Lepisosteus oculatus: one gene and its partners. The protein of the gene in region 2 interacts with the protein of the main gene of each other region in a pairwise test. Links are inferred from orthologs where the notes say so. Each region holds a gene or a part of one and is shown on either strand. Other genes may lie near its edges.

The links.
Region 1: the proteins of disabled homolog 1 (region 2) and clasrp interact in a two-hybrid assay, tested with the Homo sapiens proteins (2 studies listed by BioGRID and IntAct). The link is inferred for Lepisosteus oculatus from reciprocal best matches to the Homo sapiens genes DAB1 and CLASRP.
Region 3: the proteins of disabled homolog 1 (region 2) and mbnl1 interact in binary tests that used the Homo sapiens proteins (3 or more experiments, as listed by UniProt). The link is inferred for Lepisosteus oculatus from reciprocal best matches to the Homo sapiens genes DAB1 and MBNL1.

Annotation. Positions count from the first base shown.
Region 1 is NC_090698.1:2,616,000-2,623,797, forward strand, and holds the start of clasrp (CLK4-associating serine/arginine rich protein), read left to right. Parts: upstream 1-4,792; 5' UTR 4,793-4,891; intron 4,892-5,508; 5' UTR 5,509-5,624; exon of another isoform or gene 5,625-5,664; intron 5,665-5,873; exon of another isoform or gene 5,874-6,085; intron 6,086-6,101; exon of another isoform or gene 6,102-6,206; intron 6,207-6,847; 5' UTR 6,848-6,936; coding exon 6,937-7,035; intron 7,036-7,656; coding exon 7,657-7,754; intron 7,755-7,798. Other genes in the region: protein jagged-1b, read left to right, coding at 609-958. UniProt on the Homo sapiens protein: Probably functions as an alternative splicing regulator. May regulate the mRNA splicing of genes such as CLK1. May act by regulating members of the CLK kinase family.
Region 2 is NC_090704.1:17,827,356-17,834,916, forward strand, and holds the start of disabled homolog 1, read right to left. Parts: upstream 3,018-7,561; 5' UTR 2,745-3,017; intron 1-2,744. UniProt on the Homo sapiens protein: Signaling adapter of the reelin-mediated signaling pathway, which regulates the migration and differentiation of postmitotic neurons during brain development.
Region 3 is NC_090708.1:2,857,987-2,865,491, forward strand, and holds the start of mbnl1 (muscleblind-like protein 1), read left to right. Parts: upstream 1-4,499; 5' UTR 4,500-4,543; intron 4,544-7,505. UniProt on the Homo sapiens protein: Mediates pre-mRNA alternative splicing regulation. Acts either as activator or repressor of splicing on specific pre-mRNA targets. Inhibits cardiac troponin-T (TNNT2) pre-mRNA exon inclusion but induces insulin receptor (IR) pre-mRNA exon inclusion in muscle.

The DNA.
Region 1 (7,798 bases), on a different chromosome or scaffold from region 2:
TTAGCTGTGTGTGTATCGCCTGTGTGTGTTGATTGTGCGTATCGGCCTGTGTGTGTTGATTGTGTGTGCATCGGCCTGCGTGTGTTAGCTGTGTGTGTATCGCCTGTGTGTGTTGATTGTGCGTATCGGCCTGTGTGTGTTGATTGTGTGTGCATCGGCCTGTGTGTGTTAGCTGTGTGTGTATCGCCTGTGTGTGTTAATAGTGTGTGTGTATCGGCCTGTGTGTGTTAGTTGTGTGTGTGTATCACCTGTGTGCGTTAATTGTGTGTATATTGGCCTGTGTGTGTTGATTGTGTGTGCATCGGCCTGCGTGTGTTAGCTGTGTGTGTATCGCCTGTGTGTGTTGATTGTGCGTATCGGCCTGTGTGTGTTGATTGTGTGTGCATCGGCCTGCGTGTGTTAGCTGTGTGTGTATCGCCTGTGTGTGTTAATAGTGTGTGTGTATCACCTGTGTGCGTTAATTGTGTGTATATTGGCCTGTGGGTGTTGGTTGTGTGTATCGGCCTGTGTGGGTGTCACCTCTGTCTCTGTGTGGGAGTCTGGCTGTGGGCACCGGGGGTTGTGTGTGCCTGTGCCTGACGGTGCTCTCTGCGCCTCTGCCGTGCCAGGCTCCGGGAGCACTCTGTACGTGGTGATGGTCGTCCTGCTGGCCATGTTGGTAGTGGGAACGACGCTGTGCATCTACCTGCTGGCTCAGCTCCGGAGGCGCAGGAAGGAGCGCCAGCACGCCGGGCAGGACGAGGGCATCAATAACCAGCGGGAGTGCGTCACCCTCATCCGGAACCTGGGCGGCCCTCCCCCAGTGCCCCGCTGTCGTGAGGAGATTGAGCTGAGCCTGCCGCCCACCCCAGAAACCAAGAAGCCCAGGAGGAGCAGCGCCAAGCTCGACATCTCCAACCGGGAGCGCGAGAAACTCAACCGCTTCCACTTCTCCGACAGCCAGGAGGTGGAAGTGTGAGGCCCGCCCCGCCTGTCGGCTTCTGTCCGTCTGCCACTGCGGCCACCCGTGCTCCCAGGCTTTGCAGGCCTTGCTAGGCCCCCGAGGGAAGGGAGTGAAGGGTTTGGCTGCTGAGGAGGCTGGAGATCGTGAGCCTTGATTGCCCAAGAGGGGGCGAACTGCTGCACAGCTCTGTTGACTCCCACACCTCAACCCTTGTGGCATTTTCCCCCTGAGTTGGAACTCTTGACATAAGCCTGAGAGCCTGAGAGCCTGAGAGAAGAAGGCCTCTCTTTGGCGTGTCTGGGTATCGGTGCACCTGCTCTGCCCTGTTGCCACTATGAAGGTTCCTTCCTTTTGATGGAGGCAGTGATGTGAGGGTCAGCATTGAACTTCTCATTCCAGCTGTTAAACTAATCGCATTTCCTTTATTGGAAGAATAAAGTATTGTGTTGTTTTTTTTTTGTTTGTTTCTCATGTCAATGAAGGCAATATTGTGTATATGTGTGTGTTTTGACAGGTCCTTTAACGATAGAGCTGCACCTGGTGTTCGTATAAAAGCTTCTGAGCAGCTGTTGCGTGGGTAGAGAAATCTATACAGTACATCCAGCAATGTTATCAGTAAATCTGATTCATACTCTGCTTGTTAAATGTCTTGTTCAATGTGTTTTGCCTTCTGGAGAGAATGTGCAAAGCTAGAGAAAGTCCTGTGGGGACATAGTTCAGTGCTGCGCAGACCTGAGTCAGAAGTGTCTTGACATTGCAGTGCAACTCCTATATGTGTCCCTCCTATACCCTTTACACAGCTAAAGAGCACTCTCTACTTCACATGTGTGTAATCCGTTTGAATTTTAATTTACAAATAAGTCAAAAGCGTGAGAACGAAATATTTCGGCCACTTTTGTTAGATATGGTTTTGCAATAGACATCCACCAGATCAAACTACAGCCTAGGCCAAACACGACTCCACTGTGCCAGACCAGTTGCCCTCCACCAATCCTGCTGAGCACAGGTGGGCTCTCCATAACCCCTTCCCTGCTCTGTATCTCTGTACACCCACTTTCACCAGACCCCTGGAGGTTCTGAACCAGAACTGGGCTATGGTCCCACTGAACAGGGCCTGTGACCCCGCCTGAGAGAAGAGGAAGTGACGGGGGGTGCAGTGGGGACCCCAACATTAACAAAGTGCAGCTTCCAGATTGCGTTACTGATCGGGGGTCTTAAGAGCTCATTGCATCGGGGCATGAGTTACATTTCTGTAGTGTCGGAAAGACAGGCTGGAGGACAGACCTCTTGACCACAGCTGGACAGTACACACTGGCCAGTTTGACTGACCCCTTCCCTGAGAGGCTGTGGGGTGGAGAACGGGGAGGTGATTTAGTCCTGTCTGATGGAGGTTTTCTGCGATTGTTCCTCAGCTCTGTTTCTCAAGGAGCCACAGTCCCTGAGGGGTTAAGAATATGAGGTTGGTCACAAACAGGAGGAGCCACTCAGCTCATCCAGCCTGTTTGGAAGTTAGTAGCTAACCTGAGGATCTTATCCAGCAGTTCCTTGAAGGAAGCCAGGGTAGCGTCTATGTCAGTGGCTGGAAGCTTGTTCCACACTCCCACAATTCGTAAAGAAGCGCCTGCTGTTTTCGGTTTCAAATCCAGGTCCACATAGGCTCCACTTGTGTCTTCTGGTCTGTGTTTCAGTGGTTTGCTATTTCTCTTTAGGCCTGGGGATAAGCGCTCAGTTAAGTGAAAAATTAGTGGTTCAATTAACTAATTATCTGCTCAGATGGAATGACAACCTGAGGACCCCATTGCCCTTGGGAAAATGCCCTTAGGAGCTGAAGACAATGGCAAAAAGCAACCTAGAAAGGTTACTAATAAGGGAAAATAATCTAGCTCATCCAGCTCGTTTGGTAGTTAGTAGATGACAAAAGGATATTGTCCCCTTTGAGGCGGCACGTTCATGCTTGTAAAAGATGTATGATTTTTGTACTTGTCTGTAAATAGTTCAGCTGTATATAGTGTACATATTTATATTTTGTCTTTTATTGACCATTTTTGTACCGTGAAATCTTTGAGAGTTTTTGGTTCATCTCTGCCCTTTTTCCTTGTGTCTCTCGTGATGGCCAACCGGTGCGAACAGTAATTAAAACTTGTTTAACACCAAGAGTGCAGCCTGTGTCTGTGTGTGCTGGGACCCCGACAGGCCACCCCAGGGGGGCATCTCCCCAACCCCATGCTGACAGAGCGAGAGAGACTCCAGGCTGCTGCTGTGAACTACGGGGAACCACAGTGGAGAGCCCTGGACCCTGGCCAGGGTTAACTACAAGGAAGATGGAAAAAGCAGGTGGCGGGGCACCAGCCACAGACAAGCTTTTCCTAAGCAGCACCAGTTCAATCTGCTTCTGGGCCTTACTAATTGAAGTGCTTGTACTGACTCACTTAAATCCTTGTTTATGCTTTGTCTTCTGCCAAGCATCCCTTGTACTGCCAGAAGGAAATAAAAAGCACTTGTTTTTTTGGCGGTTACACCTACAAAGGCCTGTATCACTACATATATTATTTTTGGAGAACTCTTTCTTCACTAAAACAACTTAACCATGGGGGGACAGGTCTTACTGCTGTTTCCTGTGGTTCGTCCTGCTAAAAACTGTTCAGTAAAGCTCAGTGAAGCACGAGGGGGTGTACTAAGGCGCAATGTTTCCAAAGAATTTGCTCCCTAAGACCTCTACAGATGAGTCATTAAGTCATGGTATAGTTTGTAAGGGAGTTTCTACAATGACCCCTGCCCTTGCTGGCAGTGCCTGGGGTCCAGGTGACGTGGGCAGCGAGGGGTTTCCCTGCCGACCAGGAAAGGTGATGAGCGAACTTCCTCTCTCCGCCCGTCCTGAGGGAGGTGCAGGAAGCGTCTGCCTGCAGATGCCTGCCAGGAGTCCGAGTCACGTCCTCGCAGGCCCTCAGATGAACCTGCTCTGGACAGGGGCTCCAGAAACACCTGCTGCTCTCGCTGCAGAGAGCGAGGGGCCAGACCAGGCGGCAGCTGATTCACCCTGCAGCTCACAGCCAGCAGCCCACTGGAGCTCAGCAGGTGTGAGCCTGGTCAGTACCTGGAGGGGACTGACTCCCGAGGAAAGCTAAGGCTGCTGCTGCAAGAAGTGTTAGTAGGGCCAGCAGGGGGCGCTCATCCTGCAGTCTGTGTGGGTCCTAATGCCCCAGTATAGCAACGGGGACACTAGACTGTAAAAAGGCGCCATGAGATGTAAAAGCATGGTCCTAACTTCCTGTGGTCATTAAAAATCCCAGGGCGTTTCTCGAAAAGAGTAGGGGTGTTATCCTGGCATCTTGGCCAAATTTCCCCCTGGCATTTACCAGTCATGGCCTCCTAATAATCCCCATCTCTGAACTGGCATCATCACTCTGCTCTCCTCCCCACTGAGAGCTGGTGTGTGGGGAGCGGACTGGTGCATCATCCAAGTGGGGCTGCACACTGATAAAGAGGAGTCCCCATTACCTGTAAAGTGCTTTGACTGGAGGCTATAGAAGTGTAAAGAATTTGTTATTATTAAATCCACGCAGAGCAGGCGGGGGGGTACAGCAGTGCCTGAAGTGTGCTGGTACTCTCTCCTCACTTGCTTCAAATTCCAGACCAGCACCCCTGTATTGCAAATGGGGGTGCTGTGCCACAGGAGGGGCCGCACTTCACATGGGCTGTTGACCCAAGGCCCTGCCCACACTGGGGACATTTGAAGGTCCTACGGCTGGGATTGCTCAAGAGTGAGCGTGAATTTCAGAACAGCCCTGATTCCGGTGTGCTGCCTGGAATGTGACCAGTTGGACTCTGCAGAAGGCGAACCGTCTGATACGCTGTCGTTCCAACCTTCGTACAGGCCGGTATCCTGAAGCTGCTGGGAAAAGTACACTTGAAGTTTGGTGTATTTGGCCCTCAGGACTGACCGAAGAAGTAAGTTAAAAATCTAAACAACGAAGCAGATCGGTTAAGTCATCGGTTAGAGCTGGTGCTCAGGTGGGACGGGCACCAGCTGACGCTGCGCTCCTGCAAAGCCAGGGGTGTTAAAACTTCCCCACAGACCGAGGGCTGGAACCGTAGCTTAGAACACGCCCGTCAATTCTGCCACAGCGAAAGAGAAAATACCGCTAAGAAAATAAAGAGACACAAAAACAGAAGGCGTAGCCCAGGAGACTGTCGTGTCTTGTCCCGTGAGTAGTTCAAGTAGGGAGCTGCGTCAGCATGTGTTGGCTGCAAGGGAACAAGTAAAGGTTTATTCCATGCTGGAAAGGGAAGAAAAGAAACAACGTTTAGAGAAAGTCCATCCTCTTTCTCACACCTCCACGGCCGAAACGTTGTGTTTCTTGTCTCCTCTTTTCAGCATGGAATAAACTTCGTGTCCCATAATCCGACTTTGTCGTGTTGTTCCGGAGTTCAGTACTGTTTCCTGCTGCAAACACGCAGTGCTGGAGAATACAGAACTACATCTAACTGAAGCTTCGGGTTAAATAGTATTAAAGAAGACAAAAGGGGAAAGAGAAATAATATATCATAACGGATTGTTTACACAGATTCTTCCAATACATTTTCGTTCGAGAGCCTGCACCGCCGCCTGCTGGAGCTCGGGTTGTACGAGCTCGCTTCCGCGTCCAGCTTCGCAACGAAACAGCCTGACACGTGGCTGCGGGTGTGCGTGATTCCGTGATTTACTATCCGTGTGGCCACAGGTATGTGATGCATAACGTCATGTTCTCCTTAGAGTGCACAATAATATCCGAAATGGACCAGTTTGGTGTCATTTGGAGGCAGGGTAAAATATTAACGAGCTCCGCAGTTCTGTTCAAATACACCAAAAATATTAAAACCACAACTCCCGTTCACCCTTTCCTCCACTTCCGCTCTCATTGCTCTTTGACCTCGGAAGTGGTTGCCGGGATACCGGAGGACTGTGTGTTGTGATGGCCTCCCGATCGGAGTTCGGGTGCAGTTACGGCTGTTCGACGTGTTTATATATTTAATTGCACTCTGTAAATCTTACACCAAAGAATATCCGGTGGTAAAAATCGAAAGACCCGAAATATCTTACAGACAAGCATAACCAAAATCCTTTCAAGGAACATAGACGTTGGAGGAAGAAGACTACATTTCGTACGTGTGCAGGCGCCATTGGGATCCGGGGTCGCAGCTGTTATTTATTCCACAAAAACAGATAAACAGTTGGGGAATTGTAATATTTATCGCCGCATTCCTTAAATTACTTCTGTTCGAAGTGAGTAAATGTTATTAGGGCAAGAATTCGAAGCAGGCGTTTCTAATCATGCCATTTTTAAGCAAAAGCAGTAGATGAGATTGCATATCAGGGAGGGACAGGAGCGATTAGGAGAGTCCCTTGCGCGGGGGCTGTGTTGGATGTGTCGCTGCTTCGTTCGTGTGTTTTGCCAGGGATTAGACGGGAACCCCCATGAGAAGGGAGAGAGGCGAGCAGTATGAGGAGTGTCGCGGACACATTCCTCCGGGTGCGGCCGCCATTGTAGGCAGCTGTATTCCCCAGGGGAAACCGCTCAGCCCCCGAGAAGCCGTGAGCAAGGCTGAGCGGGCGGCTGGAGAGCGGTGAAGAGCAAGCAGCCCTTAAAAAGTGATAGCGGTCACATGGGCAGCCACCAGCTCCGCCCTGCTACAACCTTTTAAGGAACCGGTAAACTCTTATTGCCGGAAGCCTACATTTGTGAGAACAGGAGGTTGATTTCAGGACCTGGACAAGGCCCTGTGGCTCCTGGGCCGAGGGCAGATGAATACCCCCTGCTCCCGGCCAGCTGTCTTGCAGTGGCCCCAGGGGCAGAGCCCAGAACACCTTGGCCCTCAGCAGACTGTGCCTCCTTTTCACCCCCAGCATCCTTTCTCCCTGTGCAGGTGTGTTGTGGGATTCCTGCTGCCCTCGGACTGCCTCTCCGGCTCCTCCCGTCTCCACGGCAGCAGGGCTTGGCCGCCCCGGCGCCAGGATGTGGCACGAAGCCCGCAAGCATGAGCGCAAGCTGCGCGGCATGATGGTGGATTACAAGCGGCGGGCGGAGCGGCGGCGCGAGTACTACGAGAAAATCGTGAGCGAGCCGTCGGCGTGCCCGAGGAGCGGGGCCTTGGCCCGCGGCCCCCAGGAGCCGCCCTGTGGGCGGCCAGCTGCCCCTGCCCGGTCGCGGCTGGCGCTCGCCCTGCCCCTGCCCGAGGCGCTGGTGTTTTCCACCTGGTCTTCTCAGGGGCTTTCATTCAGAAAACAACCAGACAAATGTTTGATTAAGCAACATGTTGGGTAGTTTATGCAGAACAGGGATAGATTGATGATAAATGATTAATTAACCACATGGGAGTGATGTAATCTGACTCGTCTGAAGGCACTGGCGGGGGTGCAGTAATGCCCGGCAGGTAGTACTGTTGTACACTTAGCTTGGTGGTGGTGGAGGGGATCCCCATTACCTGTAAAGCGCTTTGAGTGGAGTGTCCAGAAAAAGCGCTATATAAGTGTGAGCAATTATTATTATTATTATTATTATTATTATTATTATTATTAACGGGAACATTACTGTGTAAAAAAAAAATGGATTTCAGGAACATTCAAAAGCAGGAACTTTTTTTCCCTTAAGCCCCTAGTTTCCACTTGTCCCTTGGGGAGTTGTTTGGCAGTGTTATACTCTACTGTGAGAGTTACCGGAGTCTTGTGATTTCAGAAAAAGGACCCGGCCCAGTTCCTGCAGGTCCATGGGAGAGCGTACAAGATCCACTTGGACTCTGCTGTGGCTCTGGCTGCCGAGAGTCCAGTGAACATGTGAGTACTTCTCTGCTCCTGTTTGCCTTAGGCCACAATAGTTC
Region 2 (7,561 bases):
GACATCTGAACCCTCAATGCTAAGCGAAGAGCAAAGGGTGACTCGGAAATATATAGCCCCACACAAGGACACACTGGAAGGACAAGAAAAGCACAGGGAAACTAGGAACAGGACAGAGTAGGTGTCCTCTGGACGTTGAAGGCGTGACAGCCATATAATTTCAGTGGACATTAAACAACAATCTTCAGTTGACAAAGACATTTAATCATTTTCCATGAATAACAGGTGTTAGGAAGTGAACAGTGTGTTTAACTATATTTTTTGTTGTCTACTGTTCAAATACATGTGTATAAATGAGAGTAATCCAGATATTGTATGAGATAAAGTGCAAATAGACTAATTTTAAAAAGCTTTGTTTTCATTTCTTAAGACAATACCTCAATTTAATTAAACAAAAATGAAAAATTGATGAAAAGTTAATGATTTTCTTTAATATACAAAAATACATAACCTATACCAAAACACAAGAACTGGATTGAGTGCTCTCTAATATACCATTCACAGTGATTACATGTAATACCAACATAAAGAAATGCTTTCTGTGAGCATCTATCTGATAAAGATTCAACGTACTAAAGAACCGTTGAATTACTAAGGGATTTCCTGTAGAGTTTTCTCTACTGGAAATATATATATATATGATGAATTAATTTTAATTTTAATCCTTAACTAATACAACAGTATATTTTTGCAGAACATCTCAATCTGTTCCAATGTAATGGACATGCATTACATCAACAGCTAAACATTGTATTTTTCAGCATGAATCAGGTAATTCACTTTTTAGTATATTAGTATCAGCCTCTGTCGTAAATGTGGTTCAGTCACTAAACATCAGCTGCTGATCTGTATTCAGAATACACATCTAAATTAGCACATTAATAGAAAAATAAATATATAAATAATGCTTCTGAACTACTGTATGTTGCCTTGCAAAACGTAAACCAGCTTGAAGGCTGCCATACAAAGGAATGAAGTGCAGTAGTGAAAATAGAAATAAATCAATAAAAAAGAAGGCGTTATATGCAGGATTTTATCATATTTTAATAGTAATAATGTCAGTAAAACTGAGTGACCTAACCATATTTCACACCGATTATACAGGTATATCTTAGCTTAAGAATTTTTGTTGTTGTATAAAAACAGTCAGGCCACTACATATACTGTACATGCATTCAGTTTTAGAAGTGAAATATTCCAAATCATTAAACAAGGGAGAGAAGTACAGTACATGTATCATATTTATTTTGGGCTGTGAATATTTCTTGCAATTTCCATTGTGATGTAGTACAATGCGTCCCTTATGTGTCTTTTGAATTGCAGGCAGTTGAGCAATATTTCAGACAGCTGATGCATAATAGCAGCACCAAAGGCACTTGCAAAACACAGCACACTGCAGTTCCACTTCAAATAATTCCAAAAATCAGCAGTGTACTGTCTCTCTGAAAAATACAAGTGACCCAAGTTGTAAAACCTAAAGAGGATGTCTGCAGTAGTAAGGCACATATATAAAACAAAATCTGACAAACCCTTAAAAGCTGTAGTCTGTTTGACTTCCTCTTTGACTTCCTCTTCTCCATTGTTTTTCAATCAGTAATACAGTACATATGCTTATGTAGAATGTCGTCTAATTCCTTGTACAATCAGTGAGGTAGAAAAAGAGGATAATTTTAACACACAGCAAGTTTAAAGGACATACTATGACTGGCAGTTTAGCCAAAGAACTGGTCTAGAGCACGTACTCCAGTTATATTACTTTCCTTACAGCCCTTTGCTGACTGACACAGACACACATGCAAAAATGGGGCACAGACAGTGCTGTCACACTTCAGGATTGAACTAAAGCTTCACAGCAGGTACAATATAATGACAAGCCCCTTTTAAATGTGCTCTTTCAGAAATAAGAGTTAAACTTTTACAGGAATAACTATTTGCATTTTGATTCCATCTCACACAGAATTCCTTTTGAGCTGTTTGCCTCAATGGAAAAGAACTGTAATCTTTTGCATTTATCCTTGTACAAATACATACATACTTAGGGCGTTTCACCCCTTTAAACTCCATTTAGATCTTATTATTAGCCACTAACTGAAAAAAGACATCCAAGATCTGTGATACTTGTAACAGGGGTGTATTAAGCAAATGCATACACCTGTAGAGAGATTGATAAGACAAAGACTGACATACAGTAAAGGTTGATATTTAAACACCAAGATGGACTGCAATTTTATTGATGGAGAGCTTGTCTTGAATAATCAATGTAGTACTTCAATATTTATCTTAATCCTCTTTATGGAATTAGAAAATCAATTTAATAAAGATATGAGAGACATGAGGAAAATGAATTAAAGTACATTTTATAGTTTAGTGAAGCTAGTCTAAGGTTTTGATGCCCCTGTATGTGATCATATCCCGAAGTACTACACATACAGAGGAGGAGTACAGCAGCAGTAGAGCTGGAATTGATGACAAACTGTCTACTGTCTGTATCCAAGCAGACCCATTGCATTTTCCATTCCATAACATAAACCTCTAAAAAAACACAAACACAAAAAACTTGGAATTAATAAGGCTGAAGTGGGACAAATCACCACTCACAGAGACAGATGCCTAATGCAGCTGTGTTCCAAGGTACTCCTGCAATAGCCTTCTCAATGACATTTTACTGACTGGAACGCCCAGGGTTTCCCTCCCTGCACTCCTGCAATGCAATGAAAAGCAATGTGATAGACAAATTCTCTTACCTTGAGCTGGTGTGCAGCTGTCCCCCATACAGACCCCCTCACTCCCTCTGGCGTGACTCCCACCTGAAGAGTCCTATTCCCTTTGACTTGTCCCACTCCAGAGGCTAAGCCTTTCTGTTTGGAGAAGGTAGACCCCCTTCTTTTTGGGAAGCCTGCCTTGCAAAGTGGTATCCGAGTAGGAAAAATCCTCAGCAGCTCCAATCCAGCTTCAGCAAACACCTACAGTCACAGCAATAGCGGCAGCAGCAATCTGCAGGCCACATCGTTCATACCTTATACATCACTACCACATTCCTCCTAATAGCAGATCCCTCCACCCCTCCCCTCTCTCCCATACCCTCCACCCCTCCTTCCCCGGTATCCTTGGCAATGAGGATTTTCACAGGCTTAAGGAGGAGTAAGGCATGGATGAATTGATTTCCAGAGGCAGTACGTCCTTATCAGTCTCCTGCTAAGCACTCAACTAAACAGCCCCATCAGAACTGCATTGTTAAAAAGGAATAAATATATAATATATAATCCATAGAATACCACACATTCCTGTAATGTATTTAGAGCATAATGCATGTATATCATATCGTTTTCTTTCTTTCCCTACTCATTAATTCACCCTCAAATGTGTATTTAGAGAAGAAAATCATTCTGGACCATCAAGTAAATATGGTAGACAGCACCGTGCAATTGTTACATTAAATTCAGTTTGCATAATGCAGCATTAATAACTCAAGCAGGAGTGACCATTTGGTTTATATCACTGGGAATCTATTTACATAATCAGCATAAGCAATTATGATTCAAACATCTTGCCACAAGTTAGGTCTTCGAATACCTGCCAATAATATTTTTTGCAATGCAATGGTTCAAATAGGTATGCAGGATGACTGCTAGAACATTCAGAGAGCAAATGCTCATAGAGGTTTATTGTGTTACATAAGAAATAACCATGTTAATACATTAGTTGGCATATAATCAGAGGTGTGATTTTTTTTTACATTAGTTCTGCGGATATTGGGGGGTATGGTATCTTACATATAACATGTCAGATCCTTTAATTCCTTGCTCATCACCTCTGGCACGAACTTTGTTACAGTAACAGTGTTCACATGTGCTTTGTAAAAAGACAGTAGAAAGATCACTCCATGGAAAGTCCTTTGCTTCACATTACTGATTGTTTACAAGAGTGTCTCTAAATAAACACTTGACATTGCCAACAGAAAAGTTTAGATATGACATTTGAAGGTGTCCAACCAGTTTCATAGACCTGGTGTGACAAATTTTTACTTTCCAGTGAAGAACTTCAAAATCAAAACCATCATTACTTCAAACTACAGTGTGTCAACAAAATATTCAGGCCCTTGTTCAGTCTAAAATTTATTACCTTTAAACTTGCAGTCAAGTTACTTTTAGAAGTTCTTAATATTTGTTGTATACTTAACACACTCCACAATTTCAAACCAAAAATTAAAAGAGCATGTAATGCAGTAGCTGGATACAGCTGCATGGGTGGTGATTTGTCAGAACCCAAGTACAGGAGACCGGAGACTGAAAAGTAAAAGATGATAATGAGAATTAATTACTGGCCAATGGGGCTAATCAGCCCAGGTCAGTTAGTAATGGAAGAAATCATCGATCCTAGGAGAAGCCAGGCTAACCACATCCCTGCTGAAAAGAAAGGCTACTGATTAAAGCCCTTTGGAGGGAGTCTTGGGTATGGAAGGGACCCCAATACTGGATCCCTGAAAAGGAACTGAACTGGCTTAGAAGGCAGCCCTCAAAGGCCAGGGGTGCAGATCGGAAAATTTGAGGGTTGAGGTGATGAGCAGTGAAAAGAAAAAGTGAAGTTAAAAGGTACTGGCTAGAATAGAGACTACCGCCTCAGGTGATGCAGGGTAATTGTGAGCTTCCTTGGAAAGGAGCTGGACAGATAGAAGGGCCGACTTGAGGCCGGGGGTGGGGGAGGGAGATGGCAAACAGAAGGGATACAAAGTTCTGAGCTTGAACAGAGGCAGCTCTAAGCAGAGGAATGGAGGTACTGTGTAGAGACATTTTAATACTTGAGAGAAAGGAGCAAAGAAACCTGTCTGGTGAGTAGTTAATGAACAAAGGGGAACTACAGCCTACAGGAGGACTCCCGATATAGCCCAGATGTATACTGGGGAAATTGGACTGTGTGGCATCCCTCTTCTATGTGTTGCTGTACTTCTCTGTACCATTTAGACCTTCTAACACCCTCTCCTCATCATCTGAAAGGACAGCAGACACTCAGGAAATCATTATGATGCTTGGAAGTACCTTTTTGTTGCTGAGAATGCTGTTTTCTTTGGGTCTTGGAGTAATAGTAAATGTTGTTGTGCTTAGAAAATAAAAAGGGAACTTATATGATACTAATGTTTGTTGCTGGTTTGTGTGTGCATTGGTGATTCTGGGATATGAATAGAACCTCTGGTTTAGTAGAGCGGTCCTAGCCTCCTGTTTGTATTGCTAGGTGGTGTAGTCATATACGAGGCAGGAAATAATTATTGTTTGAGGGGTCACCTCATTGTGTCAAGAGCCCTAAAAAAAAGAAAAACAGACTTCAGGACGTTCATGAGGCACCAACATACTGTAAGTGCAGTCAAGACACAAATGTGGGGTGAGACAGAAGTGCAAGAGAACGTGCATGTGGAAAAATGAAGAGCAGCCCCTTGGCTTTATATAAAAAAGTGGGAATTGAATAATGAGCTAATTAACACGGATCACAAAAACATGATCTGGTCAGAGCAACAAACCCCTGGAAAACCATGAGCCCTTGTTAGAATATGATGGTTTTCCAGGGCAATCTCTAGCCGAAGGACGTCGTCATGACAGAGAGAAATAAAATATCTAATTAATACGAAAGAGAAATAGAAAAAGCCATAACTGCATTAGAATACAAATCATTGTTGTGTCAAACCTAAATTAATTTGTAACCAAATTAAAGAGCATATTTAGTTGAGTGACATCTGACGTGTATGATAATGTTTGCACATAACTCATAATTTCAGAATAAAAACATCAGGCTCTGTGAAGATTCTTGGTTAGGTAGTGAATTTAAAGCAAAGACTCAACCATGGAGACTAAAGAGTTTTTAAAGCAAGTCAGGGATAAAGTTTTTGTAAAACACAGTAAAGGGTACAGAAATATAGAAGTCTCTGAATATCCCTCTGAGAAAAGTCTACTCAGCCACTGAGAAACTGACAGTACCTTTTACCACTTAGATACTGAATTGATCAGGCTTTCCCTCTAAACTAAGTAGCTGAGCACAGTGGAATTAGGTTAGGCAAACCACTGTGATAGCACAACACTACCAATGACAGCTTTGAAAGAACTACAGAAATCAATAGCTGAAATGGGAGAAAATATGCTTGCTTTCACTGGAACACTGTGGAGTGATCTAGAGTTTGAGACGGTGGTCGGCCAAACTTCCACTCACCTGTCACTCAGTACTGGTAACAACAGAAACAGATTCTGACAGGCAACTTGTATCACCTGTGGGCAATTTAAATCCACATCTGCATCAGGTGATGCAGAATATCCAAGGTCAGACATTACTCAGGGCTCTGATATACTTGTCATGTCCACTGCTTAAGGTGGAATTAACCAGCAGCTGTGAGAGACGTAAGATGAACCCATGCACTGGGCGAAAGAGAGAAAAGTGCATAAGGAGAAGTGCAGGCAAATATGGTGCGGACAATTACACTGTGGTCAGATTGTAAATGGTACAAAGCTAGAGAGACAGTGAAAGCATAAATGGAATTCCACAATCATAATTGAGACAAGCAGGCATAGTTCATAGCACTGGAAATCACAGAAGCACAAAGGGACAAATCCACAGAATTGATCAGGTTGAAGCTAGAGTCAAGAATCCAGGAAAATAATAAACACAAAGTAACTCAGGAACAGAGCGAGGAAACAAAGCTGAGGTCAGAGCTAAACTCTATACCAGAGCCGTGAGTACTGTCCAAGCAGACCTTAAATATTCTGCACCACTTGATGTGGGTCTGGATGCAATTTGCCCCATGGTGATAGAGGTTCTTGTTGGAATGTGTTTCCTTGGTAACCGGCACTGAGTGACAGGTGAGTGGAAGTGTGGCCGACTCCCATGGCAAACTCTAAATCACTCATCTAGCTCTCGTTCCAGTGAGAGCAAACCTGACAGCTAAATTCTATAGTTTTGCAACAAAGAACCTGCAAGATCCTGCAAAAAGAACAGTAGTAAAAGGTGCTGTGGTCAGATGAGACCAGATTGGAACTTTTTGTGAAATAAATAAATATCAAGTATCAACAACACAACACATCTCCTAGTAAACACCATTCCTACAGTCAAATATGATGGTGGTATTATCATGTTAATGACATGATTAACTTCTGTAGGGACTTGAAAGCTTGTTAGGATTGAAGAAAAAATGGTTGGAGTAAAGTACAGGCAAATACTAAAGGAAAACATGTTTCAGTTGGCTAAATACTTAAAACTCTGATGGAAATTCACCTTTCAGCAAGACAATGATCTACAGCACGGCTATACTAGAGTGTCTTAAGAAAAAGAAAATGAATGTTCTTGAGTGCCTCAATTAAAGTCTTGACTTGAATCCTACTGAAAATCTGTGCAGACTTAAAAACTGCTGTCCATAAGCAATCTCTAAACAACTTAATAGCAGCTTAAGAAAACCTGAATAAATCTGTCAAGACAAATGGGCAAAAATTGGACCAAGACAGTTTTCAAAATTGGAAGATACTTACCTACAAGACTCATGGCTGTTGTTGCTGCTAAAGATGCTTCTACCAAATATTGAGATTAG
Region 3 (7,505 bases), on a different chromosome or scaffold from region 2:
ATGTCTCACTTTGTAATATTAAATCCAAATTTAAGTGGATGGCTGCCTTCATTGAGCCCTTGTAAACAAGGGTCTATTTTAGTGCAGTCTTTGTGTCTCTTGAATGAGAAATGCAGAGGCTAGTTTCAGGAGAGCCTGTTGCTGTAGAGGGTAACTCAGAGCTTACAGGTACGTGAACAATTTAGCACAGAATACAGATGGACCTTGGCACAAAATGAAGCACATTAATATGTGTGAGCTTTGTGGCTCTGGGGCTATGACTCTGCACTCTGGAAGGTTGCTGGTTCGTATCCCGCGGCCGGCAGAGGAATCCTTCTCTGTTGGGCCCCTGAGCAAGGCCCTTCACCCCAACTGCTGCAGGGGTGCTGTATAAATGGCTGACCCTGCGCTCTGACCCCCAGCTTCTCTCCCTGTCTGTGTGTCTCTATTGTCTCTTATTATGTGTCAGTAAAGTGATATTATCTTATCTGATTGTAATAATGCTAAAAAGACTTTGCTTATTAATAGTGTTTCTAGCAATATTAGCTACCGTGATTTAATATATTCATAGATAATCAAATGTCTGGGTTTTAACCCTTATGAAATTATAGTTGGGTTGTTGCATATACTGTTTTTTATCTTAATGTACAATGCAATACCTTAATAATTCTGTCATAACTTTAAAACTGTTTTCTGTCATTTTGTCATTCTGCTATTTAATTGTAAGGTTTTAAGTAGCTGTTAAGTAGCTTGAATCTGCTGGGCTTAGGGAATGAATGCTTCAAGAAAATGAAGACAGAAAATTGCAGTCCACCTTCTTGTGGGACTGTTCGGTGGTATAATGAGTGTGCCACTCACTGGGAGATGCCTGATAGGTGTGGACAGTTTCTGGTCACCATGAGGTGGAACTCATACCTTGAAGTTAAGTTATTCAGACGTTATGACAACCTGATCGCACCTGTGAGGCGAGGTCAGCAGATCTGGGGTGTTTCAGCCCTCTGCAGGACTGAGGCTGGTTTGCGTTGCTGAGCATCTGCAAAGCATTACTGCCAGCTTGATGGATTGTTCATCCAAAAAGCCAGGTTTGATCTGACTGCAGACCATATGTACTGTACCTGTGTGTTTCTGTCCAAGGGAAGAGCTTCTTGAGGGAATCCTGGATTTGTCAGGGATGTTTTCTTCACTGTTTAAATATCTCTGTGTTGCTTTTCCTTTTTTTTAAAAAAAAATATTACTTGAATCGCAAACAATGGTTAATCCATATACCTCTATAGCTGTACTCTTAACCATTTATATGATGAGTAAATATCAGATCAAATAATAATAAACTAAGGCACATACAGTACGGTACAGTAGATATGTGGTTGTTGTGTTAATGCTCATTCATCTAAATGTTTGCATTACAGCGAGTTTGACTTCTCGTACTGCACTGGGAAACTGTTAGTACTGTCAGTGTGTCAGTGGATATTTTCATTCTGCCTCCCCGCTCTGTTTCTATTAACATTTGTGGTTTTTAGGGTTTTCTCTTATTTGCTGTATATTTTTATATGTGCAATACATGTATTGTATATTTTGTAAGTTACTCTGGGTAAGGGCATCTGCTCAGGAAATAATGATGATAATAACATCTGCACTTAAAGACTGCTGCCTTACCTTTTTCAAGCTAAAGCCCTAATTTGATATGAATCGTATTACTCAAAGTAAAAAACTCAAAGTTACTCAAGTGTGAAGTTGCTTAGTCTAAACAAAAGAGTATTCATTTTAGAATTCTAGGCAGGTTGAACTACCTTAGATAGTTAAGGGTGATACTGTTGATTTCAGGTCATTCTGGCATCATGACCTTTCACGTTTGTGTGATATACAATCCAAATGCAATTCACTGGATATTTGAGTTGGAAAATACACTCATTAGAAAAGGGGACACATTGCTCATCAGGTGGATTAAAGTAGTTATAGTTTGCTGTAGTATATTCTTCTTTTATTGGTATTGTTTTCATGGACAACAGCTCTCAGAATTTACATCAATACCCTGTCTCAGTTGTTGGTATTGTCATGATCAGGAAACTTGTTTTCTTTTTGATCTGCATGAAGGTGTTAACTTAACAGGAAACTGCTTATATACAGTCAATTGTTATACTCTTCGTGCATGTAATTCAAATAAAAATACATTTACTGTCCTGATCCCAGATAATAAATACCATGAGATTCTTGTTGTTTGGACTAGGTATCCAAATAGAAAAAAAGGACTAACGTTAACATTAAACATTTTTATAGTAGGATAGTGCACATTTTAATGTTTTTCAGTTTTATCACAGGCTGTCTTCTGTCTGTATGATCCCAAATGCACTCAAACACATGTTACTCTGAAAACAGTCCCTAGAATAGGGGCACCCATGCTGGAGCTGCATCTCCGCTGATGAGTCTCGAACCCGTATTCGCACACGGGGGAGAATGAGGGAGTGCAGACACACTCCCCAACCCCACCAACTTCCTGCCACTCAAGTCTGATCACGTCACAGTCAGCGCTGCCCCCTGCAGGGGGAGAGGTGCGACTCTCACTGACTGCCAGGACTTGCACACTGCCTCCAGTGGAATCCCAGTCACAGTCAGCTTGTGACCATCGAACTCAACCTGCCCTCGGTCCTCTTTCTAAACTAATGCCTCATGTAATATTGTGTAATAATATACATACTGTAAGAGCCCAAAATTGCAAAAAGCATTATAATCTCTCTAATAGATTTCTAAATGAAACAAAGACATTTTTTCAGAACACTAAATTCACCACTCTCACACATGCATTGTGTGTAAAGCTCTAAATTAAATTTAAAAAGATCACAAAATTATAAAAGCATGCTCTAGGGTGAGGAAACTGTGGGGAACAGATGGTTGCCAAAGCTCAGCATGGACTCTTTTCTTTGTTGTGTCTTCATACCATGTAACTGCATTGTATTAAAAGAATGATCTTTTTTGCAGTGTTCTAACTTTTTTACTAACAAGATGCAGCCTGATTTTATACCTAAGTAGTATACTAAAATCTGGTGAAAACACATTTGAAAAAAAGAACATGCTCCTTTGCTAACCATGCCAAATACACTATTTATCTCTGCTTATTGTTTTGTGGCATATTTTAAAGATTGAAAAGTTAATACTAAGTGAGCCAAAAATACTTAAAGCTCTCTGCTCTCTTCTTGCCAAAATATCCAAAAAATAAATTAATAAATGCAAAATGTCACTAGGCAGTGATGCTTTGTCTCCCATTCTGGGCACTGAGTCTGTTGGAGCTCCATTGACTTTGTAATTGATGCTTGTCATCTTATTTCAAAAAGAGGCTGGGGAGATGTTTTCCTTGACAATCCAGGAGAAGTCATGGCCGAGGTCGTTTGTTTATTTTTAAGAGAATTGATTTCTAAATTTGTCTCAGATTTCTTGCTGGTATAGTAATTTGTAAGAATAAAGAGAAGAAAAAATTGGGGTACGTTAAAGGATGTTTTTCACTGTGATGTGTTTCTAAATCGAATCAGTTAATATATTATTAGATATTTAATTGATTTTTTTATTTTCTCCATTGCGGCAAATACTGTATATCAAGGAGCTCTAAGCTGGCCGGTCAGAAAAGTGATTCATCCCTCTAAGTTTGTTTAAGTAAGGGGAATGAAGATACAGAATTAATACAATAAGAATTTAAATCTACAATTCAGTCAGTCATGTTTGGGGAAAAAGGGGTAAACGTGTTTCAAAATAAAACAAAAAAATCACCACTTCACAATTTTAACACGACTGTAAAAAGAAATACTCCTAAGCACCGCAAGATGAAAATGCAAAATAAACTCCTTAGTGAATATATTTTTTCCAGGGATGCAAAATACCAAAGAGCTTTCTTTTAGTCTGAACTAAAGCCATGTACTGTATTTGACTTCCATCTCTCATTTCTTTGGGCTCATTTCTGCCAAATGAACTCTCTGCACAGCTTCAGGGAAGTGGGTTTTAATGTACAGTACCTTACCTCTGGCATGACAGCATTCACAGCCAGGCTGCCTAGAAAAGCCCTGAGTAGCTCCTCAAGTCAGGTTTGCTTATACTGTAGGTGTGTAACTATGACCTCTGCCCATGTGCACTTGATGACAGTGCACACTGTTTAGAAAATGTGGCATTTTTCAGATATATATATGCACATAGTATACAGTATATTAAAGACCTGTCTTTTGTTTATTGCAGAGTGATAGAGCTTTTTATAGTATTAGTTTCAGGTCTGAAACTAAACAGTGAGGGGTTGAAAAATCCCAGCCCTTTTACAAAGCCATCTTGCTTTGCATAGGGGACAGTCTCTCATTTATCATTTATTATTGTGTTCTTCTTAAACCGCGATCAGGGAGTAAATACAGCTCAGCCGTCTTGCTGGAAGCCCAGAGCAGTCCGTTAAATGTCTGCCTTTGAGCCAGGAGAGTTGAGAAAGCCTTAAAAGGGAAGGAATATAATTTCAGTTCCTGGCATCCACAAAGGAAATGCTAAAACAGGCCTGGTTTTGCCAGATCGCACAGAGAGAGAGCTGTTGAGACGGTGTCAAGTAAGTTTTTTTTTTTGCATTCGAAATTAATATTTAATATTTAAAAGCATGAAACTTTAACGCTTCCTATAATAAATGGATGCTGAGTTTGGCTTCTCCCTGTTAAAGTATGAAGGCTGCATTTTCTGGCATATACTAATATCCTGCCATCGGGATGGTGTCGGCTGGGGAGAAGATTGTGTCGACCATAATGGAATGTTAGGACGGCCGATGTGGAAAGCACAGAGCAATTGGTTTTATTCCGACTGCGCTCAGTATTCATTTGAATGATAAAGACAGACGTTTTGGAGAGATTGCATACCTGACTCACCTTTTGTGTCAGTGTACACTGTTGACAGCTGCGTTTTTGCCTGTGTTTCCTAAAGATTGTGTTATTTTCAGTGTGCGCGCTGCGTGGCACAGTTCATAAATTGTCCACTTGCGTTAATGAAGAGCGAGTGGGAGCTGCCAAAGAAAAGAAGTCCAAGAGGCTTTTTTTCATTTTAAGTCTTTCTCTTTGAAGAGTTTAACAGCTGTAACACATTTTCCCCGATTTGTAATACGTTTTCCTTGGATTCTGAACTCTTTTCACATTTCGTCTATAGCATTTACTTGCTTTTTGTTCTGAGCAAGCTCAACATGTTGCGAGAGTTGTCAAAGTCTGGGATGCATTCTGGGCTTTGTCATAACTCCATGCATCGTCCCCTTTTTTCAGTTGTGCCTTTTATCTGTGTTTGATGAACTCTCCATATGATGCCTGGAGACAAATCAAGCAAGCGCATAAGTGATAGCTTACTGTTGAGCTCGCTGGCCCAGCTTGTTTTAATAATTTTACAGTCCCAAGTGCCAGTTCATTATTGAAAGAACACAGGGGCATATACAGATCGTAAGCTCCTTCGTTAGCTTTTCCCAAATGTAGGCCTCTTCAGCTTATAAATCTATTGGCCATTATTCTCAAATTTCCTTTTATAGGGCTGTAAAGCTATAAACACCACTATGGAGAGCCTTGAGAAGCTTCTTGGAAGCTGAGTGCAGTCACGTGAGGGAAAGGCTTGATCCACTGAAAAAATCAATGTGTTATTGTCACTGCATTTTATAAAAAAAAAACACTTATCAACTGGCACAAATAAATATGTCTTATAACTGGACTGAAAATGAACAGGTGCTCACGGGGAGCACCATACCTGTTGGACAAGGAGAAAGCCCTTTGGGTTCTTTTTCCCAGAGGAATGAAGTACTGGTTTTGAATTTGACAAGCCCTTCACTCCCACAGGTGTCCATGTTGTTATTCAGAACGTCCCAAATTTGAATTCTTTCCACTCTCTGGTAGCGTCAGTGGCTCCACATGACCCGGGGATGGGAGATGACATGGATGTCGGATTAGGAAAGAGAGCAGCCTCAGCTGAAATACAGTAGTGGCGTAACAGACACACACACACAGATAACAGGACAGCGGAAGTCAGGAAGGGTTTTCTGCTGCCCCATAAAGAAACAAGCAGCTGCAGTCCGGCATCATCAGTGCAGTGTGGCCTCTGCTTCTGTTTCTGCTCTGTCCTTCATTTCAACTGGTAGCCCCAGCTATTCCAAAACACAGAGATACTCAAATGGCAGTCAGAGATACAGTAGCAAGTACAGTGCATAGATTTGTGGTCCAGCTAGGCTGCAAAAAATTAAATACTTTTAAATAAGAAACTGAAATAGCCCCGGGTGATCATACCTAACAATGAATCAAAATAATCAAAAAAGATGATAAATGCCTAACTGAAGCATGATATACTGTAGTAATTAAGCTGAAATTATGTTACGATTGGATTTCCTACCTCATATATACAGAAATCCTATGAAGTGAATAATTTATAGTTTCTGCTCTTTTCATCCAACCCATTGGTAACTAATGAAGTTTGAATACAGTCAGTATGAAATGTAAATATAGCATTTTATGTAATTTATTAATAAATGGAAGGAATTAATATTTACCGGTGAATTAATAGGAGTCTGCAGCTAGAGTACCTTTAGTTCGGTTACAAAATCATTCAGTGAAAATCAATTTTATTTTTCTTTTCCTACTTTTATTTTCTAGTATAAAAATCAAATGGGCCTGCCCTCTGTTACCATTAAAAATAAGCTGGACAACTTTTGTTGACCAATGTCTATGTTGCAGAGGTGTTTGGGGTTATGATTATTTTTTCTTTCGTCTGTGTACCCTGTGGTAGTTTTTCAGACCTTGAATTAGCCTTCCAAGCTGCAGATTTCAGTTGAAACGTTGATTGAGACAGTGGACGAGGTGTGGGTTGCCAATCAAACACTGAAGTGTGGCCAGCAATGAAAATCCTTTTTGAAGCAGCAACCTGGAAGCGCCTGGCATGTTCCTCTGCCTTCACATTCTCGATGAATTAGTAGAGAGAACACATTCAGGCATTAACTTAGTGGATAAATAAGCAGCATGCATGACTGAGATGGTTTCCTAAACCTTGAGAAGTTATTATAAAATCATGGGGATGCTTCAGTGGTCTCCAGCTTTGCCAGTTTTCCAGGAAAGCAAAGACTGCTCACAGATAAATATTTCTATTGCTATGAAAAGAGAGTATTATCTTGATTTAGAGAATCTATTGCGATTGCAAACAGCAGTAAGTAGCAATAGATTCTACTTAACTGTGTTGTACCTTTTGAGTTTTTTTGTAACTTACTTGTTAAAATTTAAACTTCACTTTTTTCCTAGCTTTGTTGAAAACCATTATCACATAGTTAACATCTATTAAAACATTTAATGACTTCGCCATGTGCTGCATTCATGCTTGGATAGCTCCTACAATAAAGGATAAAGGAATCAGTTGCTCATGCTGTCATAACGAGACTGAAATTTAAAATGTTACTGATACTGAGAGGTCCCAAATTACTGCTTTAATGTGAATGCACAGGACTTGTTCTGAATGTAGGAGAATTCCAGGGGGGGGAATTGTTTTTGCAGCCCAGTGTGACTCAT